3 linked regions of the Coturnix japonica genome follow. The protein of the gene in region 1 purifies or fractionates together with the protein of each later gene. This does not show direct contact. Links are inferred from orthologs where the notes say so. Each region holds a gene or a part of one and is shown in the gene's direction. Other genes may lie near its edges.

Region 1 (2,628 bases):
TCAGGCAAAACATCTGGACACGTGGTTCATGTTTGACCTGTTTTTCCCTTTTCCACAAATGCGATAGTATTGCTACACGTCAGCTAAAACTGGAAATCAAAAGCAGCGTGAAAAGGAAGGAGGCAAAGAAAAGCAGCAGCAGAACATAGATAAGCTTATCATTTGTCCTCTTGTGGTGACTTAAAGGGAAAAACATCAGCAACATTCTTTGCATTATTGTAACTAATCTGCCCATGTTACTGCTTAATCTGGTACTTTCACGTAGGGGTGAGAAGAAAAAATCGTGGTTCTTAGCTGCACCATCCCATCTGTTCCATATGAATTACTGCTGACTTCTGCAATCAAAAATCTCAAAACCTTCAATGCCAAGTGCTTTCTTTGTCATTTAGGGAAAGAAAAAAAAAAAAGGACAATGGAATTTCTCTGCAAAGGCAAAAAGTGGTAAAATATACTTAAGAAATCTCATTTAGCTCCAAGGCAACATCTGAGATTTAGCTGAACAGATAAGGTGAACTAATGGTGTGTTGAATTCCAGATGTTTGAGTTGCACCTGTTTGCATAGGTATCCCAGCTGTTATCAAGATATCTGAATTAATGATGTTATTAATGTGATGAAAGATGGTCTTAGCGTGTATTAGGTAATTCTTCCAACTAATACTCAGTAGCTCCAGAGAATGGGCTTGCAAGAAATATATGTATATATATATATATATATATATATATATATATATATATATATATAAATACATAAGACATTCTTAAGGCATCCCTTCTGAGATAACATTTCAGTTTCCTCGCTGTAAACAAGCAAAATCTCAGCTTCTTGAAGACCATAAAAGCAGCAGCAAAAAACCACACAGAAACAAACCCAACTTCGATGTATCTCACCTGAAGATTATTCAAATACTTATTTCGGTGAAAACCTTCAATGATTTGTCTTTCAGTTCTGATTCAGAAATGTAACCGATTCAGAAGGAGAAAATGTATCCTTTTTTTTGTCAAGTTCTGGTAACATAACAAAGATTTTCAGGCTGAAAACCTAATTATGTGCATAATGATTTATACTTTTCTTGAAGTGTTTGAGCTAAGCAGCTATTAGGGACTAGGAGCTATAATACAATTGTATCTATAGAAGAACATTGCTCTGAAGGAAGACTGGATTCTGGAATGGACAAGCTATATTTGAGACAGCAGTGTAATTCCTGTACTGTTTCAGTATCCATACTGGAATCAATATCCCAATCTACATGTTCTTCTGTAACAGTAACTTAAAGTTACTCAATGCTTCCAACAGCGCAGACAATGAACCCCTTTAATGTTTTGAAAGTTGTCGTGACATTTTATTTGGAAGACTACAGACTTTGAGAACGACAGTTAATTTTATCTTATATTTGGTATCACAGGAGTTCCGAGGCATTTAAATGTGGATCGTATTAAAGAAGACTTGATGAAAATTGAAGATGTTTATTCTATAGAAGATTTAAATGTTTGGTCTCTCACTGCAGGAAAAACAGCTGCCATAGTCCACTTGCAATTAGGTAAGCTGCTATATGGCATAATTTTAGGTTCAGTCCAGCCAGGGGTGGGGAAGATGACAAAACTCAAAGCACTTTATCTCTCATCTTTATATTCATACTCACATCCAGGAAATAGCATTCTGGGGGGAAAAATAATCTATTGTTTATGCTCTTGTACAGAGAGATATAGAAACCATTAACCCATAAGGACAAAGTGTAAATGGAAGTTAGGAAAGAAAGAAAATACATTTATACTGAGGCATATTGGTCCCATACTGATCCAGTACAGAATTTTCTTTTTCCTATTTGATGGCGTTAAGTACTTTCCTTCAGAAATTCCCTTATGGAAGGATCTGATTCATGGATAAAACATGCTGATATTGACATCTAACACAACATCAGGTGTATCAGAGGAAAGCTTTCTCTGTAACCCTATTTAATGGGGACAGTTTTACCAAGATACAGTTCTAGATAAGAGATAAAGATGTAAAATAATACATATAATGTATGACAGTCACAGAACAATAGACAATTGATAAGAGGGTTTGAATAAAGACATCAGAGTTGGTGAGATCACGTGGTAAATACGAAGACAGATGGATTGTCCAGTTTTATCAAGGATTGAATGTTATGAAATCTTTTCCTGGTTTTTCCAGTTCCTGGTAGCTCATCTAAATGGGAGGAAGTTCAGTTCAAGGCCAGACAACTGCTGCTGAACACGTTTGGAATGTACAAGTGCTCTGTCCAGCTTCAGAGTTACAAACAGGAATCAAGCAAGACCTGTGCAAGTTGTCAGAGTTCCAGTGCCTAATCTCATGTTTTGGGAACTGCTGCCTTATTCTTTATCTTGTTGTCAAAGACTGAGAGCAATAAATTCAAAGTGAATGATAAAAATAATTAACATGTGGATTTGTACCATTTAACACGCAGCAGGGAGAACTGGTGCTGCAAGAAGCGCAGTGGTTGCCCTACAGAGCATTTCATTCTCTCCCTCGTGCTGGTTTATTAAACTTATTATGGTTTTGAGACAAAGTTGTTTTCAGATTGTTTACAAACTGCAACATGGTTCTGCAGATACCTCACAAATTACAGTTTGAGATTGTCTTTTGTG
Region 2 (3,756 bases), on another chromosome or scaffold:
GCCTGGAGGGAATCTTATTTTATTAAAACCAAGCACTTAGAACCAGATCTAAGCCCTTTGCCACTCTAGATCCCAAAAGCATTAGACTTCCTTAAGCATTTCCCACAGCTCTCAGCCATTTTCACTACCATCCTTTAGAGCTGGTTTCCATAGGCTGCAGACACCAAAGGCTTCCAGCTCAATCCAGGAAGACACTGCAGGAAACAGAGCATGAGTCTAGAAAGTTCAGTTCCTGCCCACACGATCCAGAAGTACCTGAGAGCTCCTCATGCTCCTGCCACTCCCCATAACCTGGCAGCAGGACCCTTCCTGCAAGCGGCAGGGATCACCTCCCTTCTGTTCCACACAACTCTGGTGCCCTCAGCCAGTCCTGCAAATGAGACACTTAGAGCTGGTCCGTGACCATGAATTATCAGCAGGATGAGCAAATGGATGGTACTTCCTGGACACCTGTACTTGGACACACATGGCCTAAAACACAGGCCAAAAAGGGATGGATAGATCCCGCTTTGTCAGTGACTTTCCAGACATATCAGAAAGTGGAAGGAATATGGCAGTACATAGTCCTTTTACAGGGAAGGAATCCCTGAGGGTGGTGGCAAGGCCCCTTCAGTCTGCACCTCCAGAGGTATAAACCTTCTGCCGGAGGTTTATACACGGAAATCCCATTCTGAGAAACTCATCTGCCAGCAGCAAAGGCAAAGCACACAGATGTCAACACACAGATGCAAACCCGGCTGGAGAAAGGCCATTCCGTGCCACAGTGCCACCATTAACCGCTTCCTCCATTCACCACGCAGGTCAGCCCGGCCACCATCCCCACTTCGGAAACGTGGGCCGAGCGGTACCTGAAGCGCAGCCACCGACATGTGTCCGCTCGGCAGGCGGGAGCGGCCGGCCCCATCCGCCAGAGCCCGCGGCCCCTGATCCCGCGGCCCCTGATCCCCCGGCCCCTGATCCCCCGGCCCTGCGCCGCTTTAGGCGCCAAGCGTGAGGCAGCGCCGAGGCGGCCCGTCCCGCACATCGCCCCGCGTGCGGCTCCGCGACTTACTGGCGGCCTCACCCCGCCTCGGGGCCGGGTTCGTCCCGCCTGGGCGGCGCTGCGGGTCCGGGCCCGGGCGGAGGGAGGAGGAAGGGAGGGAGGGGAGAAGGAGGGGGCGGCGCGGCGCGGCGCGGAGCCTCCTCCCGGCTGTTCTTCCCCGGCCGGACGGAGAGCGGCACTGTGTCCCCGCGGCGCGCGTTCGGCGGAGCCTCCCCCTCTCCGCTGCTGCCGCCGCCGCCACCGAGCAGCTCCCCCTCCCCCTTCCGAGCAGAGCCGCCGCACCGCCGCGCAGGGAGGAGGCGGCGGGAGCGGGCGGGCAGCGGCCGGCGGGGCGGCGGCGGAGCGGCGAGGAGCGGCCGGCGTGGAGGCCGCTCCATGCTGCACCTTCCGGAGCTGCGTGAGGTAAAGGCGGCTCCGCGTCCCGCGTCCCTCCCTCCCCGCGCCCCCCTCCTCCTTCTCCTTCTCCTCGTCCTCCTCCCCGCGGCCGGGGGGAGCCGTGCTCGGGGCCGGCCCGGTGTGTGGGGGGGAATCTTTGTGGGCCCCGCGGCGGCGCGCGGTGAGGGGCGGCGGGGCGCGGCGGGGCCGGGGGGGGGCTGGGCCGTGAAGTTGCGGGAACAAACGGAAAGTGGCGAGCGGCCCGGCCCCAGCCCCGGGGGGGGCTCCCACGGCCCGGGGGGGGCCGGGCGAGGGGCCGGGGGCGGGCGGGGGGGTTTTGTTTGCGATCGCCGCCGCCGCCTCCCTCCTTCCCCCCCCCCCTCTCCTGTTGGTTCCTCTGCCTCCCGATAGTTTTGAGGCCTAACTGTTTAGGCCTCGGCTCCCGGCTCCGCGCCGCCGTGCCGGCTCCTCGGCCCCCTGCGGGCCGGGCATCGCGGCCCCGCGCCCCGCCTCGGCCGCCCGCCGTCCCCGGGGGCCGGGGCATCCTTCGATCGGGGCCGAAATTTCATTGTAAAATCGGCGGCTCCCAACTATCGGTGTTGGGCTGGAGCGGCCCCGCGATGAAAGGAGGCGGCGGCGGGGAGCGGAGGGGCCGGGGCGGCGGGGGGCGGCGCGGCGGCGGGCCCGGCCTCGGGACGGCGGGATGCGGCCGGGCGGCGGCGGGGGCTCGGGCGGCGCGGCGGGGGCCGGGGCCTTCTGCGAATTGAGGGCTCGAAATGGAAAAAGAGGGTTAGAAAGTCGGTGCCATTCCGCTGAACTTTTGTTTTCTGACCGATAGAGGCCGGTAGAGGACTGTGCAGAAGGAAAGTTTCTGAGCAGCGGCGCCAGGATGGACTTCCCGGCTGCCCAACCAAAACCCGCCGCCGATGGTAAAATCATTTACTACCCGCCCGGAGTGAAGGAGATCACCGACAAAATTACCAACGATGAGGTGGTGAAACGGTTAAAGGTAGGCCGGCCTGGCCCCTCTTCTTGCAACTTTTGCTTCGCACAGTAAACGTGTCTCAGGACTGCCCGAGTTCTCCTGTCATAGCTGAAATGTCTCCCCACCCGCAGACATTCGTATGAATGCTACTTCCTTGCTTGTATCCAAAATAGGAGGAATTGTTGTTTAGTTGGTGACTTTCCTCACGTGTTCTCTCAAAGCTGGAATCAATATGGAGAACTGCTGATTTGTACATGAAATGCATCCACGGTGTTGGAGGGGGTTCTGAAGTGGGGTCATAATCGCTAATTTCAGGATATATTGCCAGTCTATTTGTTGATGAGCTAGGAGGTATCCCTGGGTTCCAGCAGAGCAAGATTCAATGGGGTGGGGGAAAATAATCAGGTCTAGTTTAGGGTATTCTGGACAAAAAAGACAGCATTGCTTATACCTAGCGAAGGTGAATTTCTGAAATTCATAGGTGGAGCTTTGGAATTGATTCCTATGTAAAAATTAATCATATTTTGCAGTTTAATACAACTCAAGTGTCTGGTGCTTGTCAAAGTTGCTAGACTTTCATAAGCAAAAGGGATCATTGTTGTAAACACACCATTTCTGCTTGTTTGACAGCATCCTGGAGGACTGTGAGGTTTTCTTTCATATAGATGCATGAAATGCTATGATACAGTACTACTATTTCTCAACACTGTGCCAAAAACAGAGAAGATTAAGCACTGACCAAATACTAGCACAGCTCATTTGTTAGCACCATGGTCTTTGGACCAGAATATTGTTGTGCCCAGGGTGGAGATGTGGTTTTTTTGAGAACAGAAATATTCTCTTATCTGCTGATGTGTTTCCCATCACAATCATATCCCCTCAAAGACTGAAAGATAGAAATTGAGGTCTCACCCAGTCGCTCAGCACAGTGGAAAGCGCCTGAACTATAAATGTGAAGAAACAGTAGGCACCGTTCTGTGCTCTTAGTGCAGCCAGGGCCTATGTCAGTTGTTTGAAAATTGAAATGAATGAAAATTGACCTCGTCCAATTACAGATGGGAAATTTGTCTGTTGAATGCAAGAGTCGAACCTGGTGTTTTCAAAACTGCGGTGGGGTATTGTTACAGAAGAACCTAGAGCTGTGTTAGGACAGAGACCTGGAATCAAAGAGCGTGTGGGATGGGCAGGAGTGCAGTTTTGAAACCTTCACGATAAACGGGTATTATTATTATTCTAATGGGAGAACTTGTACTGGTGAGCCATGCCATCCTAGAAAACAAATAGTAGGAATTCCAAGTCATACATATGTATCTCATTGAATTTGCCTGTTTGTGTGTCAGATGTGACTTTCAGG
Region 3 (3,656 bases), on another chromosome or scaffold:
CCCGCACCTGCCTCTGGCATTGTGGACAAACAAATTAGAAGGAATTACATAGTAGCCTTCATATATTGCATTCAAGAGGAGGCTGACAGTAGACTTAATATTATTAAAAAGCCTGATATATGTTTCAGATTTTGCAGTTAATTTCTCAGTTCAGCATGTCTTGATGGATATCAGTGACTAATTCTAATTGTCCCTTGTTTTATGTGCAGGTTCAATTTGCAGCATAGGCATGAAATTTAAAGTTAAAATTTCACTTACTTAAGTATGTGTTGTGTTTGTATGCTGAATTCCTAATTTCTGTCCTTTTCCAGTGTTCATGTTCGGAGGACAGACAAAGTGGGAACAGAGGCAGCATTTCATCCCATTGAAGAATATATGGTGCATGTTGAAGAGCGGTTTGAACTTCTTGCTCGTAGAATGCATGTTGATAAAAAGAGAGTATATTTGGCTACAGATGACCCTTCATTATTGCAAGAGGCCAAATCCAAGTAAGATGAACTATGATTGTATTACAGTTTGTTTCTTCTAATTACTGTTTACAGTTTCTGGCTATTGTGCGCGCAGGTCTTGGTACTGTTGTTTTATGATCTTTTATACAGCAAAGAATTTCAACTTCTTATGCTTTTTATTTTTCTCTTAGAAAGTCTTTTTATGGATGACTTTATATATATATGTATATATGTATATGTATACTCACCACATAAAAGATGTTGTTTTTTTTCATTCTATCAATGAATAAATGTAAGGTTTATCTTTTATGTATGTGGGATTCTTGGTCTGTATCATTGTCTTGATCTCTTTATTGCTCTTCGTCTAATAGCTCTCTAGAATGTGGCTCTAACAAACTTTCCCTAGCTCTCATAGCAAATGTAACTGTTCAAACCTGTGAGTGCATGTATGCATTCATTTACTCCTAATACGGCCTGTGTTTTCCCAAACAAACTTGTTAAGTTCCATAGTTTGGTAAATTTTGCTGAGTTGGTAAAAATTTCTGTTTAATACAAGAAAGCAGATGCATCAAGGATTAATAACATTCCTTCAGATGTTTATGGCATATAAACAATCTTACAAATGCTTATTGCCCTGACTGGAAAGTAGGATAAGTACTCTAGGTGTATTGAATTTAAATGCATTTGCTTCAGAGTAGTAGTGCAATTTAGCATATTGTCATTTTCAGTGCTATTTATTTGTCTCTATACTAAATAGCTCTTATTTCTACTTCCAAAACTTTTTCTTTTGTGCAAAAGAAAGGGTTTTTCTATTAAGCAGGGGAATGAAAACTTTTTTAAGACAGAGGTAACATGAGAATGGCAATACCTGAACTTGGTAGCACGGTTGGAAAAATATTTAAGATAACATACTGGATTTTCTTTGTGTATACAGGGTAACAGGAAAGTGTTATTTTCTAACAGGAATTATTTGCAGCCTTGCAAGCCTGTGTATTTAGATTTTGTGATTTGTATTTTACTTTTATATCTGTAAAAAGCTGCTGTTTAAAGTTATGGAGTTCTGAAAAAACTAAATATGGTGGCATTGTATATGTTTCAGCTGTGGATGATGGAAATCTAATCTATCCTTTTTTTAATATATATAGACAAGAACAGTAGCAGAAACAACTAGGGTAACATAACTTTTAAAGTGCAGATTTGAACAATGAAAAGACAGGTAATACAAAATTTAGGTTGTAATATTTAATGAATTCACATAATCACAGAATTGTAGGGGTTGGAAGGGACCTCCAGAGATCGAGTCCAAACCCCCTGCCAAAGCAGGTTCCCTACACCAGGTCACACAGGTAGATGTCCAGGCGGGTCTTGAATATCTCCAGAGGAGACTACACAACCCCCCTGGGCAGCCTGTTCCAATGCTCCGTCACACCCTCCAAAAAGAAGCTCTTGCACATATCCATGTGGAACTTCCTATGCTCCAGTTTCTGCCCCTTTCCCCTTGTCCTTTCTCCACAAACTGCTGAAAAGAGTCTGGCCTTGCCACTTTGCCCACCACACCAGAGATATTTATAGACCTGAATCAGGTCCCCTCTCAGTCTTCTTTTCCCAAGGCTAAACAGACCCAGTCCACTTAGCTTTTCTTCACAGGGGAGATGCTCCAGGTCCTTCACCATCTTTGTGGCCCTCTGCTGGACTCTTTCCAAGAGATCCCTGTCTTTTTTGTAGTAGGGAGCCCAGAACTGGGCGTAGTACTCCAGATGAGGCCGTACCAAGGCAGAGTAGAGGGGGAGGATCACCTCCCTCAACCCGCTGGCCATGCTTTTTTTAATGCACCCCAGAATGCCGTATTCTATATATGCTATATTCTGATTTTCTTTATTAAACCCTTAAAGAATGATTAATTCATAAAAATATAGTATTAGCTGACTTTACTACCTCATGTAATAAAGTGCTTTGTAGTTGCAATGAGTTTTGAAAGCTGTATTTAAATTGTTTTATAATTAGCCTAATAGTGTGGATTTGTAGTTGGCATGTTAGTAACGCAAGTTGCATTTCATGACTGAAATAAAATGGTACAGCAGTGTAATTATCATCTTTGTTGCATCTTTGTAGAATTTTTCATATAAAACTTCCCTTTGTTTGGAGGCTGTTTGCTTAATCCATGCTACTTTCAGCCATTTATTTCAGTTCCTTTGTAAAGGTTAAAAATATCCCGAGAAAGACTATTCTCCTTCAAGGATTTAAAAATATGTTGGTTTTTTTTTTTTGTTTCAAAGTCATAGTTACCTGTTAAAAACTTCTGATTTGCTTAATGTTTTTAAATTGCAAAACCTGTTCTCCACAGAATCTTAACTGTGAAAAACAGTTTCCTTTTAAATTTAGATTAATTTATTTAACTTGTCCCTTTAGAGGTGACTACTTTCCTTGCATGTCATAATAATCAGTATTTAGTAGTTTAGTAAGGACAGTCCTGTATTCCATTTAGTAGTAGAGAAAGCTAAATGTGTACATTTCATGTAGAATCAGTAGGATTAACAGAATACAGCATCCACTTCCTGGTATTTTACATTCATATCTTTGACTTTCTTCTTATTTAAGTTCCTTTTGACAAATTGAGGGTATGCATGGTGTAATATAATGAGTAGTAATATTCTAATAATAAGTAGTAATATTCTAGAGTGTAAAGGAGAGACTCACATTAACTATCTTATCTTACAGCAAAGATGATGTTTCTTAACACCACCAGACTCTACTGTTAATGGTGTATTATATTTTCATAGGTATCCAAATTATGAATTTATCAGTGATAACTCCATATCTTGGTCAGCGGGACTTCATAATCGATACACTGAAAACTCCCTAAGAGGTGTTATTCTGGATATCCACTTTTTGTCTCAGGCGGACTTCCTGGTCTGTACATTTTCATCCCAGGTAAACTGCAGTATAAATACAGTATAGAATATATGTACTGGTTCTGAATAGTATAGAATATATGTACTGGTTCTGAATCTTCCTTTTCTTCTTGCTTCTGATATCTTGGTCTCAGTTCTCTCTGATGAAAATTTCATGGGACTATTGTGGGTTTTTTAATTTTTTTATTTTTAATAATATGTGAAAATTGAGATGACTTAGCACTGGTTGATTACTTCTCCCCTATTGAAGTTATTGGCTTAATTATGGCATTTCAATTAAGAAAAAAAGTTTTCT

Evidence for each region.
Region 2: the proteins of SLC30A4 (region 1) and PDS5A purify together in Homo sapiens (affinity purification with mass spectrometry; 3 studies listed by BioGRID and IntAct, counting the BioPlex papers as one, with this or other methods). This does not show direct contact. The link is inferred for Coturnix japonica from reciprocal best matches to the Homo sapiens genes SLC30A4 and PDS5A.
Region 3: the proteins of SLC30A4 (region 1) and FUT8 purify together in Homo sapiens (co-immunoprecipitation; 3 studies listed by BioGRID and IntAct, with this or other methods). This does not show direct contact. The link is inferred for Coturnix japonica from reciprocal best matches to the Homo sapiens genes SLC30A4 and FUT8.

The regions. Positions count from the first base shown.
Region 1 is NC_029525.1:9,470,872-9,473,499, reverse strand, and holds part of SLC30A4 (zinc transporter 4), read left to right. Parts: intron 1-1,403; coding exon 1,404-1,538; intron 1,539-2,173; coding exon 2,174-2,328; 3' UTR 2,329-2,628. UniProt on the Homo sapiens protein: Probable proton-coupled zinc ion antiporter mediating zinc import from cytoplasm potentially into the endocytic compartment. Controls zinc deposition in milk.
Region 2 is NC_029519.1:62,385,622-62,389,377, forward strand, and holds the start of PDS5A (sister chromatid cohesion protein PDS5 homolog A), read left to right. Parts: upstream 1-1,245; 5' UTR 1,246-1,417; coding exon 1,418-1,444; intron 1,445-1,539; exon of another isoform or gene 1,540-1,556; intron 1,557-2,255; coding exon 2,256-2,426; intron 2,427-3,756. UniProt on the Homo sapiens protein: Probable regulator of sister chromatid cohesion in mitosis which may stabilize cohesin complex association with chromatin. May couple sister chromatid cohesion during mitosis to DNA replication.
Region 3 is NC_029520.1:20,165,733-20,169,388, reverse strand, and holds part of FUT8 (alpha-(1,6)-fucosyltransferase), read left to right. Parts: intron 1-311; coding exon 312-488; intron 489-3,229; coding exon 3,230-3,380; intron 3,381-3,656. UniProt on the Homo sapiens protein: Catalyzes the addition of fucose in alpha 1-6 linkage to the first GlcNAc residue, next to the peptide chains in N-glycans.